2 linked regions of the Struthio camelus genome follow. The protein of the gene in region 1 binds, or shares a complex with, the protein of each later gene. Links are inferred from orthologs where the notes say so. Each region holds a gene or a part of one and is shown in the gene's direction. Other genes may lie near its edges.

Region 1 (8,031 bases):
AGTAGCTGTCACATACTGGGAAGGACAGAGACGTGATCCATGTGTAGAAAGCTCAGGGGCCCAGAAGCCACTCCTGAGTAAGCTCCCCGGTTACTCCCTCGCCCACACTGTAGTGAGACACAGGTGCTGGCAGACACAAGCACAGGCTCTTCCTCTTCTTCACTATCCTGATTTGAGAGAGAAGGAAACCTGGGCCCTTGAATGGGGAGAGAGTTGTAGTTCACAAAGGTCCACAAAGGATGACTGAGGGAACAAGATCTCAGGGTGTGCATTAAGGGCAGAATACAAATGTGAAACCTAAGAGAGAGACAAAGAATTGCTGATCAACTTCTCACTTCTATTAGCAAACTCATCTGCCTTGGATATCCTGCTTGGACAGGACATGTGCCTGCAAAATGGAAAAACAACTTTCTGGAACTGAAGAGAGAAATCTGACTTGAAGATAAGAAGCCATTTTTTGCAGCTTGCATTTAATAGTCATTCCCTTCATGGACTGCACTGCAGTTTATTAACCTTTCACCTTGAAAGCTTTATTTTAAAAAGCACATTAACATGTCATCTCAACCAGCTTCTGCAGGATTTCATCAGTAAGGGAGCTCGTCTGTAAGAAAACCTACGTGGCTGAATAAGAAAGTCATCATTTTTCTTGGCTGCTTTTTGGGTGGTATTGCAGCCAGATAAGGGATTGACTGTACACCAATAAAAACCAGACAGTATCAACCTTTTTAAGGTATTAAAGAAACCTGTTACATCATTTTTACTCCCGACCATGAAAAATAACTGCTGAAGTAGACAGTTGGTCCCTCACTCCCTATTTGTAGGAGTCTAAGAAGAACTGATAGGCTCTCCAGTCTTAATTAGTATATAAAAGCAGGTAAAATGAAAGGAGCGTTCCTCATTTCCTTCAGAACCAAGGCTCCAAATACTAATTCCATCCTCACAACAGAGCACATGTAATTCCATTATGATCAGGGAGTAAAACACCATGTTTTTTCAAACTCCGTGCTGGGCTGCTCCGGGTTATCTTCTTGCTTAGTTTCAGCAATTGATCTTGCTCCATGCTTACAACTACAGACGCTGAGTCTCCACCTAGTAGTACTATTTTTCACTATATTTTCCATTTGGAGCTTAAAGTATTTTCTACTTTCCTCAGAACAGGGAAAGACAATTTCCTTCACTTTAAGCCAGCTGTGTATTCACTGTCCCATCACTCTTTCACTTCCTGACACTTTTTTTCCAGCAGCACCATGGCTACCTACCTCATCGTGGTATCAGGCTCTGGAACAGCACTACTTGGCAGCTTTTTTGTGAACTACTTTGTGAACAACTGATCACCTTTTTTTGTAAATTACTGATGTTCTGAGGCAATAAAACCATGTGCTTTAGACATACCACCTATAAACAAATGTGTAAATTAAGTTCCGCATTCGTGATTTTGTTTTATGAGGCTCACAGAAGTGTACATACAAAATTTTGTTAAATATACAGATTTCACCTAGTATTTCTTTAAAAACAGGGTATGCACGTTAAATGATCTCTGCAGGACTTGTAATATATCAGCTTATCCACCTAGAAAAGCTACTCCACCAAACTGGTATGTTTCGCTCTAGGAAAATATGTCATGGAATCCATGTTGAGGGCAGCCTAACAGAGCTCAGCATGAGGGGAGGCTGAGCGGGAAATGATATAGCACAGTACCTGGCATAACGTTTTTCTTTATTTTCAAGAACACTGAACTGCTCTCCTTGAGGCAAGATGACATCTGCTTGCAGTACAAAGCCACAGGAGTCTCTTTAAGTCTCCATCTTCTCTCTCCATTAACTCAATTTATGAGGGTGCTTTAGAGAGCATTCTACAACCAGGCTTGGAAGCAGTAATTTTTCTGCTGTCACTGATTTAACATCTTTACTCTCTACTTTACATATCCCACAGTCTTACTTTGACCTTGTATGTACTTTAAATGAGGGAATGAACGGATCAAGCTTTGGCATTTAGAAAGGAAGCAAACTTGATTCTCTCTTCATCCGTTGGTCCCTTCACCATTTCACCTCTTATCAGGGCAGGGCAGACTCTGGATCCGCCCAGAATCAGTTACAACTTTATGAATAAACAACTCAACAACATAGACAGGGAAAATGTGAGGTACTTGGTCCTTGTGAAACAACTGTGGATAGAAAATTCATCAATATATTTGCCAAGTATGCAGTAGCAACGATTCCTTTCCTTTCTTTTACGATTTTTCCTAAGCTTGTTGGTAGACATAAATTTTTCAGGATCATTTAAAGATGACAGTGGAAGGAGGCTGCTGGTTTATATGGGATTGTTTTGTGCCAAAGATATGACATTAAACATAACTAGATACGTTTAATGTAGAATGTAGATGTCAGAACATCACAGTTAACGTGCAGAGGTCAAAGGCAGGAAAACTTAGCCGTAATACTTTTCCTGACCTTTAAAAAGACATTCCAGAGTTTATGGCCAACTGCTGAGAAAGCTCTGTATCCTGTCCAATGTTCAGATAAATACAGACAGCCCCGAAATCATAGCTGCTGTGGCAGAAAGGGAGGTTTCTGAGATAATATGGTTCTCTCCTGTGGAAGGTTTTGTGTCAGTGTCCTGAATTTGCACAGTGGTCAGCAACAGCTTATGGACCATGGCAAATTCCACTTCCTTTGCTGAATAGAGGGGCAGCTATGTTGTATGGCAATTAAGGATTTCTCTGTGGATTTTGCAAAGATCACATACAAAGAATTACAGTTTCTCTAGACAGCACACGAGAAATTTGTCAGCAATAGTAGCCAGTCTAAGAAGAAAATAAATCATTTTTCAGATCAGTAAAAACAAAAGTATTTCTTTCTGACAGCTAAAAATGCGGTGACTACTACAGTTTGATTCTTCAGGGCAGTCTGACCCTGAGGCAGCTTACTGATGTGAATTACCAAAGATCATGTGGCGGGGTGCGGGAGCTGAGAACTTCAAGGTGCTTTCCTCCTTCTATTGGCACTACTTCAGTCTCTCCTAGATTTAATCCAAGGCAACTGCTTTACATCCAGGATCCCATTTCTACTGAGAAGTAGGACCCAAACGGCCCACTGGTCCCCTGGATCTTTGCTTCACAGCAGGATACCTGCCGCTGCAGGTCAGCAGCCCTACCACTTCTGGCCTTATGTTCAGTTTCTCACCCTGAAATGCGGATCCTTGCCAGGCATTCCACCTACGAGGAGCGCTTGATGATGAAGTCAGATGCAGCAATACCCGTCTTGCCTCTCTGAACACAGCAGAAAATCAAACAACCAGCAGTGATTTTCTTGTTCAGCACACCAACCCCTTTCAGCACTTCCAGTCCCCAAAATGAAGTGCTTGATTTCTTCCTCCGTCTTTCTCTAGATCACCACCTTCAAGCTTGGTCTGTCCAAGTTTTAATCCAACCTATGATCCAATCAGCACTTTAGTCGATGTCAGTTAGTACTGTTATTATCTGTGCCACAGATAATTGCACAGGAGTGATGATGAGACTGCATCAGGCAAAATTCGTATCGGAAATCTTACTCGGGAGAAGTAGCTGCCAAACGTAATTTTAGGAACATATAGGAAAGACATGAACACCACATAACATCCATTCTTGCCAGGGAGTAACAGATGTGCCAGTGCAGGAGTTGGTGACAGCTGATTCCAAACCGTTTTGAGGAGACTGGAAATACACAGCCAAGCAAGGCCAGCTCAGGTTTTTTAGCAAATCTTACAGTATTCAGTTTTGTTTCTCAAAGTTAAAACTCCTAGAGTGCTTATAAGAATGATGGTATTTTTATTTTTGGTTACAAGAGCAAGTTTCAAGCATTTGTGGCAAAGACTTGAGCACTTGTGGCAAAGACTTGAGCACATCTTTAGAGTTCCTGTTGTGATGAACAAAGCCAAAGAGTAAAGCAGAAAAGCCTCCCCGCTGCGGTGGGCGGGGAGCAGCCTGAGAAGTTTCAAAACAATTCTGTTATTTTACAGCGTGCAGCTCACTTTCATAGACTTTTGACTAACAGGGCTGGGCTGGGTGCGTCCACTGTCTTTCAACACCAACCTACTAAGGCAGGCTTTCCATTGCAGTGGCTTCCACGCTGGTTTAGGGGACTGGATGCAGCATCCCATTCACCAGGGCATGGGAGCCTAACTGGGACAGCAGAAATACTGAGGTTAGGCCTCCCAGCTCAAGGCACTTACTTGCACGCCTCAGCAGGACACCTGCCCACCCCAGGCTCCCCACACCTCAGGTGGGGTAGCCCTCCTTGGCAGGTGCCCGGCTGGGTACAAGGGAACAGCGTGCAACAGGCTGCTGACCAGCTCACACCAGGCAACTCCCTGCTCAGGAGGTGACCAAGGGCAGCAAAACGCAGCGCTACCCTTGGAAAGGGCAAGCAAGCACGGAGGGAACTGAGAAGGGGACGTGAAGGAAACCAAAGCACATTCACACTGCAACGGCTCTAGCCAGAACCAGGATTTATTAGGGAGGCGAGGGGGAAGAGGGGGAAGAGGGGGAAGAGGGGGAACCGGCAGTCCGCAACCGCCTGCCCGCCGCGCCATGACCCCGCTCCCCTCCCCCCCGTCTCCGGCACGCGGCGCCTAACGGCCGGCCCCGCCCGCCCTGGCAGCGAGCGAAGGGTTAAAGCGAGCGTTGGGCGGGGCGCGCGCTTCCGTCACGTCCCTGCTCTCCGCCGCGCTCCCAGCCGTCCCCAGGCCCCTCCCATTGGCCCCTTCTTTTCCCGCCTGACGCGCCGCCGGGAAAAGGGAAGAGGCGAGCCGCGCGGTTGCCGTGGTGACGGCTGCCGTGCCCGGAAACGGCAGGGCGCCCGGGCGGTGCCTGCAGACGCGCCGGCAGCCGGCAGGTAGGTGCATGCGCGCGCGCGCGCGCGGCCCCACGCCTCTCAACCCCCCCTTTCCCCCAACCGCCTCGAGGCGGGCCCGGTTGCCCGGGGTGATCGCCCTCTTAAAGGGGCCGCGGGGCCGCCCCTCGGCTGGCGTCGTTGGTGCCGCCGGGGTGGCGGCGTGGCCTGCGCGGCGGCGGCGGCATGGCTGGGCCCGGCGGCGGCGAGGGGGTAGCCGACGGTAAGGGCGGCCGGGGGGGCTCCTGTCAGCGAGTGACGGCGCCTCGTGGTTGCCCCCGCAGGCGCGGGCCGGGGATGGCGGCCGGGGGGCCGGCGCGGCGGGCGCACAGCGTCTGCATGGTGTCGGACTTCTTCTACCCCAACATGGGGGGCGTGGAGAGCCACATCTACCAGCTGTCGCAGTGCCTCATCGAGCGGGGCCACAAGGTCCTGGTGGTCACCCACGCCTACGGGGCCCGCAAAGGCATTCGCTACCTCACCAACGGGCTGAAGGTCTACTACTTGCCCCTGAAGGTGATGTACAACCAGTCCACGGCGACGACGCTCTTCCACAGCCTGCCTCTGCTCAGGTACATCCTTGTGCGAGAGAGGGTCACCATCGTCCATGCCCACAGCTCTTTCTCTGCCATGGCCCACGACGCGCTCTTCCACGCCAAGACCATGGGCCTGCGGACGGTGTTCACGGACCACTCTCTCTTTGGGTTTGCAGATGTCAGCTCGGTGCTAACCAACAAACTTCTGACTGTGTCCCTCTGTGATACAAATCACATAATCTGTGTCTCTTATACAAGTAAGGAGAACACAGTGCTGAGAGCAGCTCTGGATCCTCAGATAGTCTCTGTCATTCCCAATGCTGTAGACCCCACCGACTTCACTCCAGACCCATCAAGAAGGGATGATAGTACAATAACGATTGTTGTTGTCAGCAGACTTGTTTACAGAAAAGGTAATGGGGGCCGAAATGTAAGTTTACTTTGTTTTTTTGATATCCATATCTGTGGTATGGATTAACTGTGAAATGGGAATTTCCCTATTGTGAGGTGATGATTCTGAATTTTTCTATCTATGCATTCAAGAAGAAGAAATTTCAGTCTGCACACTTGGGGTTTTGAGGTCTATGTCTTCCAATGAAGATCTTGAAAAACTGAAGATTTTGCCATTGTAAAATGGAGGGTTTGGCTTATACTGGGAACCAAGTTTAGGGCCCAAACTATGCATTCTATTAAGAATGTGTTTTTACAATTGTTTTTAATCAAGCAACAAGAACTTGAGTGGTTTTTTTCCTTCCACATTTGTCTCCTAATAGATTAGAATTTGCCTTTTTTCATAATTTTATGTCCAGCAATACAGCTGTCCTTCTGAGACCATGGCTTTTTTTTTTTTTTCCTCTCCTTTCCCTTCCTCCCAAATAGACTTATAGCACTAGGCTACCTTACCATTCTAAAATGAAATACAATAACAACTTACTTTAAATTTTATACTCTTAGGTATAGATTTGCTTAGTGGTATAATTCCTGAGCTCTGTCAGAAATATCCAGATTTACATTTCTTAGTTGGAGGAGAAGGACCAAAACGAATCGTTCTGGAAGAAGTCCGGGAAAGATACCAGCTACATGACAGGTTTGTTCTATGCATGTTTATGGTCTTTTAATGTATTTTAGGGGTGGGGAAGACAGCAGCAACTCTCCTCCTGTCCCTCTTCTCTGCCAAAGAAAGAAATCCAAAAAACTTAGACTGGAGGAGGAGATGAGAATCATTGAGGGCAAGGCAGATGCAGCACACACTGATTGATCACTTTAAAGTTGGACCATGATCCTGCAGGCTGATTCTTATGAATAGACCCTGTGGGAACCTTCAGCAGATTCAGAGAAAATCTGAATTAGACATAAGTTTATTCATATTCCTCTCTGAAATCGTGATGTTCAGGTTACCTCTGCTATATTACCATATAGTGCTATATGGTGTTAGACAGCTAGTTGGTGTGACTGCTGCTCATGAGGATGACTGCTAGTAATTCTGGAATCTTCTTTCTTGTTGCCATTTCTGCTTTGTTGCATTTTTTTATTTTTAGGTCAAACTTTTCAGGATAGTAGTTATCTAGTATGCGTTTTCATGGTGCTACTGTGTTACCAAAGTGTTTCTATGACATATATGTGTCTATATATTTCTTTGGGATTTTTATGAGTAGTAGTTGTTCAAAAACAATTTTGTACAGCAAATACAAGGTTCTTAATTTTCCATTTCCTTTTTACTTCTTCTTTTTTTTTTTTTTGAAGTATTTGGGGTGCATCTTTTAAAAACAAAACAGTTTTCCTTACTCCCTCCTACCAAAAGTTGGAAATTTAGCCTTCATCAGCCTTAGGATATCCTTAGCTGTATCTAGTTATTGCTGTATGTTCTAGAGTGCTAGGTTCACAGTGTGCGTTTTGGAACATCTATGGACAAACAAAAACTTACTTCAGTTCTTTTGAAGTAAATGTGTAAATGGGTAGTGACTACCTGAACACTATCCAAGAAATTTCCCTGCTTGTTGCTTCTTTCAGTTCAGTGGGGAGGAGAGGCTCTGAGCAGCCTTCCATTGTGAAACTTTGCAGCCATCCTCACAAATGCCACTACTGCGAAGGCTTACACTCTCCGGTTTTCTCTTGCATCCAGTGTTCTGCATCTCTCACTGTAGGGCCTCTATCTTCTGTTGCCCGTTCTGTTCTTCAGTCTAATGATTCCTCCCTTTGCTTCCCCCTGGCATGGAAGATAAAATTGCCTGCTAGTATTATTCTTCCTTCTCCCTCCTCTGATTTTCCAATCTCTCCTCAAAATAACAAGTCCTGATTATTGATGTCCTAAACACTTCTTTCCCCTCAGGCTTTGAAATTGATCAGACCTGACATTGCAAATTTATATAATACATCCAAACAAAGAAAATGATGACAAATCTTATTAACTGCATGAAGCAATGTTCTGACAGCATAGTAGCAATGTTTGGAAAGCAGTTGCCATTAAAACAGAACAGGAAAAACCCTTCCCCTAGCTTCATATTTGTAAGTTTTGTGTTATGTGTGTATATGTGTGTGAAAATAAAAAGCAGAGTCTTGAATTTTTTTATTGTTGGCAAAAATGTAAAGAAACTAGAACAGAGGTGTCTGTGTTATTTTTCTCTCTA
Region 2 (7,741 bases), about 17 Mb from region 1:
TTATATCATTCTCTCCTCTGCATTGTTATGCAGCTATTTTAAGTCAACAACAATAGTAAATTTTAAATGTCATTTACTGAACAAGGGTAAAACAATTGAGGAAATAAATGCTTATTAATCGGGGAAAGGTATCATTTGCCTCACTGATACAAGTCTCATGACAGTTTCTTATACAGCAATCTAAAAAGGTCCTGGTGAAATGCATTATGCACTATACAAAAGTTATCCCAACTGTATAATAAAGGCCACGATACCACACTTCCTTTCTACAAAAGTGGAACTCAGCCGGCTGTCAGGTAGTCTATTCCCTCCAATAAAAGGAAATGTCCAATTTAAGATATAATCGCAAACTGCATAAAGTAAAGAATTAAATAGCTTATTACACTTGAAAACATATACAAAGTTAAAAGATGATACTTACAGCAACTTTTTTAATCAAATCAACAAGGTCTTCCAAAAACTCTAAATCATAGAGCCTCTTCCAATTCTGGTCTAAAATCTGTGAACTGCTTAAAAACAAAACAAGTTATTATTTAGAAAAATAACACTATGTTACATGGTTTTAACTACTAATATTTATGCTTCTAAGATCTAAGCAAGACAACGGTTACAAACTCAAACCGAGCTCTCGATAGAAAGAAAATCAAGAATAGCTGAGGAGCGTGTGGTACTTTTAAAATACAGGGCATCCACTTAAGTCCTTAAATACATGCTTACATTCCAAGCTTCAGAAACCTATTCTTAATATTTTCATCCCTATTTTCAGGGACTGTGTTTTCTGACCTTAATGTTTTCATCAGTGAGCTAAATAAGCTAAGATAGTTTAGCGTTTCCACAGTTTATCTGTTATTGAAAGTGCACATCAACCCTTCACAGGTAACAAAAAAAACACAAACAAACCACTTCAAGAACACAATTGCTTACCTCCAATCGGCTACCAAAGAATTGCTCTCGCTTTTGAAGAGAAGTGGCCAAAAGATGCGTATTTTAATAATGTTGCAATATTCTCTTAATATGTCAACTGGCTGACTGCACCACGCTTCACAGGGATCAACATCTTTAATTAAAAAAATAGTTAGGAACTAAACTATCCAATTCCGGCATTACAAATAATCAAAGTCCAATTAAACATTCAAAAACATCAGTTCCTTCCATAGTGTATTCTTGTGTATTATCTAACTAGAACGAGGTGACTTGAAAACTCTAAATATAAATGATGACTTGTGGGTTTTTTTTTTTTCAATCCAAGGAGGAGAGGAAATTTACACTGAGGAGAGACAAAAGAACTGCTGGCAAGTTTTGCATTCCTTCGTCAATGAGCGAGTGGTCTGTGTTCTGCATTACTCTGAATAAACGCTGCTTGCTTCTAATGAGGAGCCTAACAAAGGCTGTGAGCTGTTTAAAGGCTATTAAGGGTGCTACTTTCAAGACAAAACATAGGCTGCTTCTAGCTGCACCTGTTTAATTATTTTCTGTCATAATTTCACAGTAGCATGGCATGTAGCAACAAGGTACATAAACTCAGCAGTGATTTTTATTTTTCCTCCCGAGTCCGTTCTTTATGATATGTGGCTCTTTCAAAAATATGACCCATTTCCCTTGGAGACTGTATTTTACGGGCAAAAATCCTCATTTGACTATTGAGATGGTATCAAGTAGCCACAGAAGAGAAGCAGTAGCATCTGAGAGTTTTGTGTATATACGAAACCTGCTTTTACATAGGCAGCTGCATTCACCTGAGTTTCCTACAGACTAGGTATTGTAGGTTTTCATTTTGTATATGGAATAATTTTGAAGAACTTGGCGTATTGTGTAGCTATCTACTTTTCTGCAACTATCCAAAAAAGCCCAAAAAACAAAACAGAGAGAGAGGGGGGGGGAGAGGGGGAGAAAGGAGATTATCTATAATTACAACACTCTACCTACAAAGATCATCTTGAGCATGTACTCAGACCTACATAGCTAAAACATAGCTATGATTAGAGCACAGGTAATCAACAAAGTTTAAAATCTCTGTTCTCTTAACATTAACTGACACCGTGTATGGAAGTGTAACCAAGTATTCACACTGTTCTCACAAACCTATGGTATTCTCCTGCATATTACATTACAATAAAAAGATGAGAATTACTCCAACTCAAAATTTAGCAATACTTCCACTCAGAAGAGACCAAATAATTTTATACATATATGGAGACAAAATAAGGAAAAAAGTGAAATAGCAATCCAAAGATACAGCACAGGAAGTACATAGGAGAAAGTTATGCAAGATTAGTTTAATTTACATACCTGTTCTAAGTTTACGTGAAGAACGCTGTACAAATACTCCATGACCCTAATGATAAGCATATTAATTATTAACATTACATATCCCACAAATGCATTACATCAACTGCAAGCAGCAACTACTTAACTGTTTCTAAGTAGCATAATGGTTTATTTGCACTCATATGAGAAAAATGTTTACCTATATGCCCATTAACTGAAAAAGATACCCATAAATTAAAAATGTTCACAGCCACTCACAATTATTAATAGCTTAAACAATATATTAAATTATACTACCATAGCATTCTTGTAAAAAATAGATCACTCAAACCTGGCTAATGGACAGTGACATAATATCCAAGAATACCTACAGAAGACATTTTTAAGATAACAGGTTTTCAAAATATTAATTAATTTTTTAATAGTATGTGCATATATATGTGAATAAACATATATCAAAGTACGTAGAGTAAATAAAAGTGGTTGATTCATTTATTTACTTCACAGGTTGATTCACTTATTTATTTCACAGCAGTACACTGTACCAATGGAACTTTAATGAGTTTTAAAAGAAGTGCTCCATGCCAGCCGCTAGAGCTGAAGAGTAATTACACGGCTTTGTTCCATTTTACAGAGCCCTACAAAGTCTACTGTTTTAATAAAAATAATGTACATGTCTGTTAATAAATAGTAAGTATTTTGTCTGTATGTACAGCTGTATTATAATTTCAAAGAAACTAAAAGTTATTTCTGGATACGACTAGAAAAAGAAGTATGAAAACAAACGTCTGCAAGAAAGTGTTTCCTTTAAAGACTTTCATTCTTGCAGTGGCAGACCTCAGGGAAATACCGATATACTGTGCAATGACAACTTGACCTGAAGTGGTGATAAGCAATCATGTGACCTCATCAAAAGTAGTATTTCTAAACTGCTGCAACTTTACATGCAAACTGAGGCTTGTTCTCAAAAATAAATTATCAACATATTTAACAAAACTGGCCACTCACTAACAAAGAAGGAAAAAATTATTTCAAAATCGGTTCAGCTTGAAGGATCACTGCGAACGTCTCATTCACTCCACAGCATGGATTTCACTACTGTGAGGTATACCATCTGACATAGCCTGGACGCATGGCCAGCAGATTAGTAAAACTGTGTTAACAAGATCTATCTATTCCTGTCTAGTTTTACTTATTTATTGTATACCTTTTCAGTAAAACTTGTGTGATAGAGGATATGCAGTCTCTGTGCTCTACCCAGATGTAGCATTTTGCAAGAGAATAATTTACAGTGGTATAGCATATCTTTGCATTAGTTAAAGTTCATCCAGATCAATAATCAGTCTATAGATGATACCTAGGTATAAAACCCATTGGATCATCTTGCAAGCCTTTCATCTAGTTCCAAACCTACTTACCAGTTCACAGCAAGATTTATCACCAGCATAAAAAGCCATGGCCGCAGATTCAGATTCGGATATAGGCTCAGCCATGGTGCATAATACTGAAAAAAAAAAGATTATGAGAACCACACGCGGGTGGGGGAGAGAGGAAAGGAATGCACTTACTTTACAGGAAATAAAATGATCACAACATGACATTACGATTTGTGATAGCTTCACAGAAAACATGCACTCGTATTTTTACGTGACATAGTTAAACTTAAGAAAAGCATCCTAAAGCGTTAGATAATTGTTCAAGTTAAAAACTACTTAAACTGACTAACAACTCCAACAGTTTTGCAAGCGCCTGGTCCCTGACAGCACTCCTATTGCCTCACGCCTAACAGGCAGGAAAGGGAAGGGCAGTGTCTACCAGCCGGGGAAGGGTGCAACAGCAACTAAGCCCCATTTGCCACATCCAAAGACAGCGGCTCTAAACACCCCGCGTGACAGAACCGCGGAGGCCTCCCGTCGCCCAGAGCCACGCTCCCCCTCCTGCCAGCTCGCCCCCCACCGCAACCCGCGGGCCGCTGCGCGGAGCCCGGCCGCCTCGCCGCCACCTCCCGGCCCCAGCAGCAGCCGCGCTTCTCACCAGCGACGTGTCGCAGCCCCACGGAGCCGAGGCCACACCGCCCTGCCCGCTCCCGTCCCCCCGCACTGGCTGCGCTGGAGCCCGCCCCAGGCGGGCCGGGCCGGGCGTCACCCTCCCGGCCCCAAGGCGGAGGCCGGGGGCAAGGGAGGGGCACGAGCTTGGCACCGCGCGCAGAGGGGGAGGGGAGCGCCCGCCCCGGCCTCAACGCCCGCCACTCACCGGACCCCGCCACGGCCAGCGCGAGACCAACCGCCACCCGCGGCGCCGCTGGGCCCAACGCTGGCCCCTCCCCCCGCACGTGCCAGCCCCCCCCCCTCACCCGCCCTGGCCCCGCTATTGGCAGGCTGCCTTCTGACGTCAAGGGAGAGAGCCAACGCTGGGCTAGAGGTCTCCGGCCGCCGCGAACTCGCAGCTTTTGCGCATGCGTCTGCTTGCCGCGGGAGCTGGCAGCGGGAGAGGCGGTGCTGAAGCGCGCTTTTTCCGATTACGCATGCGCCAGATACACGGCGCCGGGCGACCAAGGGGAGGGGCAAGTCAGGCGGGTCGGCGCCTCTTTTCCTGCTGTCCTTAAGGGCGCCCTGGGTGTGGTTTCCTTCCTGAGGAACGCGAAGGGAAGGGGGCGGAATGGCCTAGCCGGCCGAGGCAGGTAGCAGGGGAAAGAAAGAAGGAAGGAAGGAAGGAAGGGCTGTGGGAGATGGGGGTCGGCAGCGCCGCGGCTCCCGGCCGACCGTTGAGCGGCGCGCGGGGCCTTGCGGGCTGAGCGCATGCGCAGCTCTCCCGCCACCGGCAGGCGCGTGCGGGGAGGGGGGAGGTGGCCACCGGCGCCGGTTGGTGTGGGGTGCGTCACGTCTGCATGGGAGGTAAATAAGTGATTTGTGTTGTCGTGTTTCCCCCCCCCCCCCGGATCCCCGCACTTGCGTGTAATTCGTAGCGAGACTTACCAAGCAAACCTGTAATACTTCTCTTTTTGTTTTCCCCCCCGAAGTTAAAGGGAAGAGACCAGCATGGTTGAAAACTCTCCAGCCCCATTGCCAGAAAGAGCAATATACGGCTTTGCCCTTTTTTTAGGATCTTGGTTTGGCTTTAGTAAGTATATTGTGTACTGAATAATTCACTGGAAAGTATTGTTCTGCTTAGGAGAGAAATGTAATTCCAGTTGGACCATCTCAAAAGGGTGACGATTACAATTTCTTGCCAGATCTGTGAGATGTTTTGAGAATCTAGCATTACCTTTTGTGATCCTTTCATGTTTTGTCTGTCTTTAATACTACTATGGGATTAAGTGCCTATTTAAAAAATTCTCGGCATTCTAATTTTAGTAACTTTTTTACTTGAATTACACATACAGTTGCTATTGTGTAACCGCAGCGTCCCCACCCCAGCCCCCCAAGTGCCCAAACCCTGGATATTAAAGGTTAAGGCGCGTCTGGTTAACAGCAAAGGAAAATGACCAGCCCTACCAGCTTTCTCTGCTGATGTGACAGATGCTGTAGCATTTCTCTGGGGATGTTTTACATGCCCACACAGGACTAAGATAGCCTAGAAAGGGTGAATTAAATGAGAACACCTTTTCAACAAATGAAAAGGTATTGCAAATAGATTGTAGTTGAACAAAAAAGTAGGATTCTTATGTAAGTCTTCAGTGTTTCTTGGAGGTAAGTGGCAATGCAACTAAGTTGGCTTCCGTTTTTCCCAGTGTTAGTTCTACAGAGCAAGCCTCTGCAGTTCCAGATTTTGTGTCACTGTTTGGCTACTAAACTCTTCATCTCAGTTCTTGTTAAACCTTACTCTGAATTTGTTGTTAGGGAGAAAGATTTTCAATGTTGGTTATGTTAACATGAAGATCACTGTTAAACTTACCAAGAGACTGAAAATATTTTCAGTAATTATTTTTTTCTGAATTCAGTTCTTCCATCCAAGCCCTGCCGTTCTACCACCTCTTTTAGTCGTATGACCCACTGTATAATCACTTTGTAATTTAATATTGTCTGTATGCAGAGAGTCATTTGGCGTGCTTTTGCAGAATCTTTTTGTTTTGTAGTTCCAAGACTGCATGAAATTCTTGTCTTGCCTACACAGGAAATCAAAAACTAAATGTTAAACACAAAAATGGTAGCATATAATGAGGTACAAAACATTGTCCCCATATTCGGCAAGTTTTGTGTATGAGCGATATATTCTGCAATGTCATGCTAGAGCTACCTGGGTATAGATTGTGTGAAAGTGAAACACTATCACAGTATGTATCAGTATGGAAGTATTGCTCTAAAACTTAAGGAAGAAGTCTAAAACAGTATCGGTTGCACTGTTTTGATTTTTTAATTCTTTGTGCAGTTCTGTATCTTATCTGGGCATACGTTCCTGAGACTTGGCTATTCTCTTTGGGACTAACATACTGGCCTCAAAAGTAAGTTCAAACAATTAAACTCTTAAGCCTGAATAGACGTACATTTATAACACCCTGAATTAATTTCAAATAGCAAATAGCGAAACTATACATGTATCTTTTAAATGGTGGCCTTGCATTTGATACATTTTTCCTGATGATAAAGGGCTATCGTTTTTGTGAAGCATTACTTTATACCGATAAGTAATTACGATAAAAAATATTTTGTTGTGTAATGAAAGAAGTAGTATTTATTTCAGTGTTTTGTGATAAGTTAGGAATTCTGTCTTAACCAAGTTTGCCGATGGAAATACAATAAATTTTAAATTGTATATAAAAAACAAAAGCCATCTATAAGGAGTTTGTGTGACTGTTTATAACAGGCTGGCTACAGTGACTCCATAGTTAGTAGTCTTCCTGGGAGGAACCAGGGTCCATATTTAGTGGTGGTGTTTCTTTTCGTCCCAGCTAAGTTTGTGCTGTATACAATAACAGCCAGTACATTAAAAATGTTATGTCACCAGACATTTTGTTATTATGATAAGTAAATTTTAAAATCTTATTTCTCAGGTACTGGGCAGTTGCATTGCCTGCGTATCTACTAGTTACTCTAGCAATCGGCTATATCTTGCTTTTTGGTATTAATATGATGAGTACAGCTCCACTCAACTCTACACATACTATTACAGGTAATTTTATTGTTATTTTTGGAGGGTTTTGACACTTAACAGACAATTTATGTACACATATATATATATGTAAATGTAAGTTTAAATAATATGACTCAAAGTTTAAGCCCCTAGTTTTTCAGGTGAGTTAAACAGGAGAGGAGTTCCTGGAAATACTTATGTACTGAGGTGAAAAGATAGCCATGAGCTTGATTCTTTCATCTTTACTATCTTAACGGCAGTAGTTTCCAACTAGGAAAGTGTAGTTTGTTAATAAAAGGGGCATCATGAGAGGAAAGGAACATAGGCACACAAAGGTCTCTTCGGCTTGTACCGTGCATTACAAACGAGTGAGGAGTGGAATAGGAAGAAAGGCATGAGTACA

Evidence for each region. Proteins that work in one complex are often made in the same cells at the same time.
Region 2: PIGA (region 1) and PIGP share a complex: the UniProt entries of both Homo sapiens proteins name them as parts of the glycosylphosphatidylinositol-N-acetylglucosaminyltransferase (GPI-GnT) complex. The link is inferred for Struthio camelus from reciprocal best matches to the Homo sapiens genes PIGA and PIGP.

What each region holds. Positions count from the first base shown.
Region 1 is NC_090942.1:139,536,186-139,544,216, forward strand, and holds the start of PIGA (phosphatidylinositol N-acetylglucosaminyltransferase subunit A), read left to right. Parts: upstream 1-4,976; 5' UTR 4,977-5,054; coding exon 5,055-5,817; intron 5,818-6,358; coding exon 6,359-6,491; intron 6,492-8,031. UniProt on the Homo sapiens protein: Catalytic subunit of the glycosylphosphatidylinositol-N-acetylglucosaminyltransferase (GPI-GnT) complex that catalyzes the transfer of N-acetylglucosamine from UDP-N-acetylglucosamine to phosphatidylinositol and participates in the first step of GPI biosynthesis.
Region 2 is NC_090942.1:122,278,140-122,285,880, reverse strand, and holds the start of PIGP (phosphatidylinositol N-acetylglucosaminyltransferase subunit P), read left to right. Parts: upstream 1-4,719; 5' UTR 4,720-4,948; exon of another isoform or gene 4,949-5,162; intron 5,163-5,287; 5' UTR 5,288-5,306; coding exon 5,307-5,388; intron 5,389-6,636; coding exon 6,637-6,709; intron 6,710-7,258; coding exon 7,259-7,377; intron 7,378-7,741. Other genes in the region: E3 ubiquitin-protein ligase TTC3, read right to left, coding at 422-509, 925-1,057, 2,290-2,335, 3,687-3,761. UniProt on the Homo sapiens protein: Part of the glycosylphosphatidylinositol-N-acetylglucosaminyltransferase (GPI-GnT) complex that catalyzes the transfer of N-acetylglucosamine from UDP-N-acetylglucosamine to phosphatidylinositol and participates in the first step of GPI biosynthesis.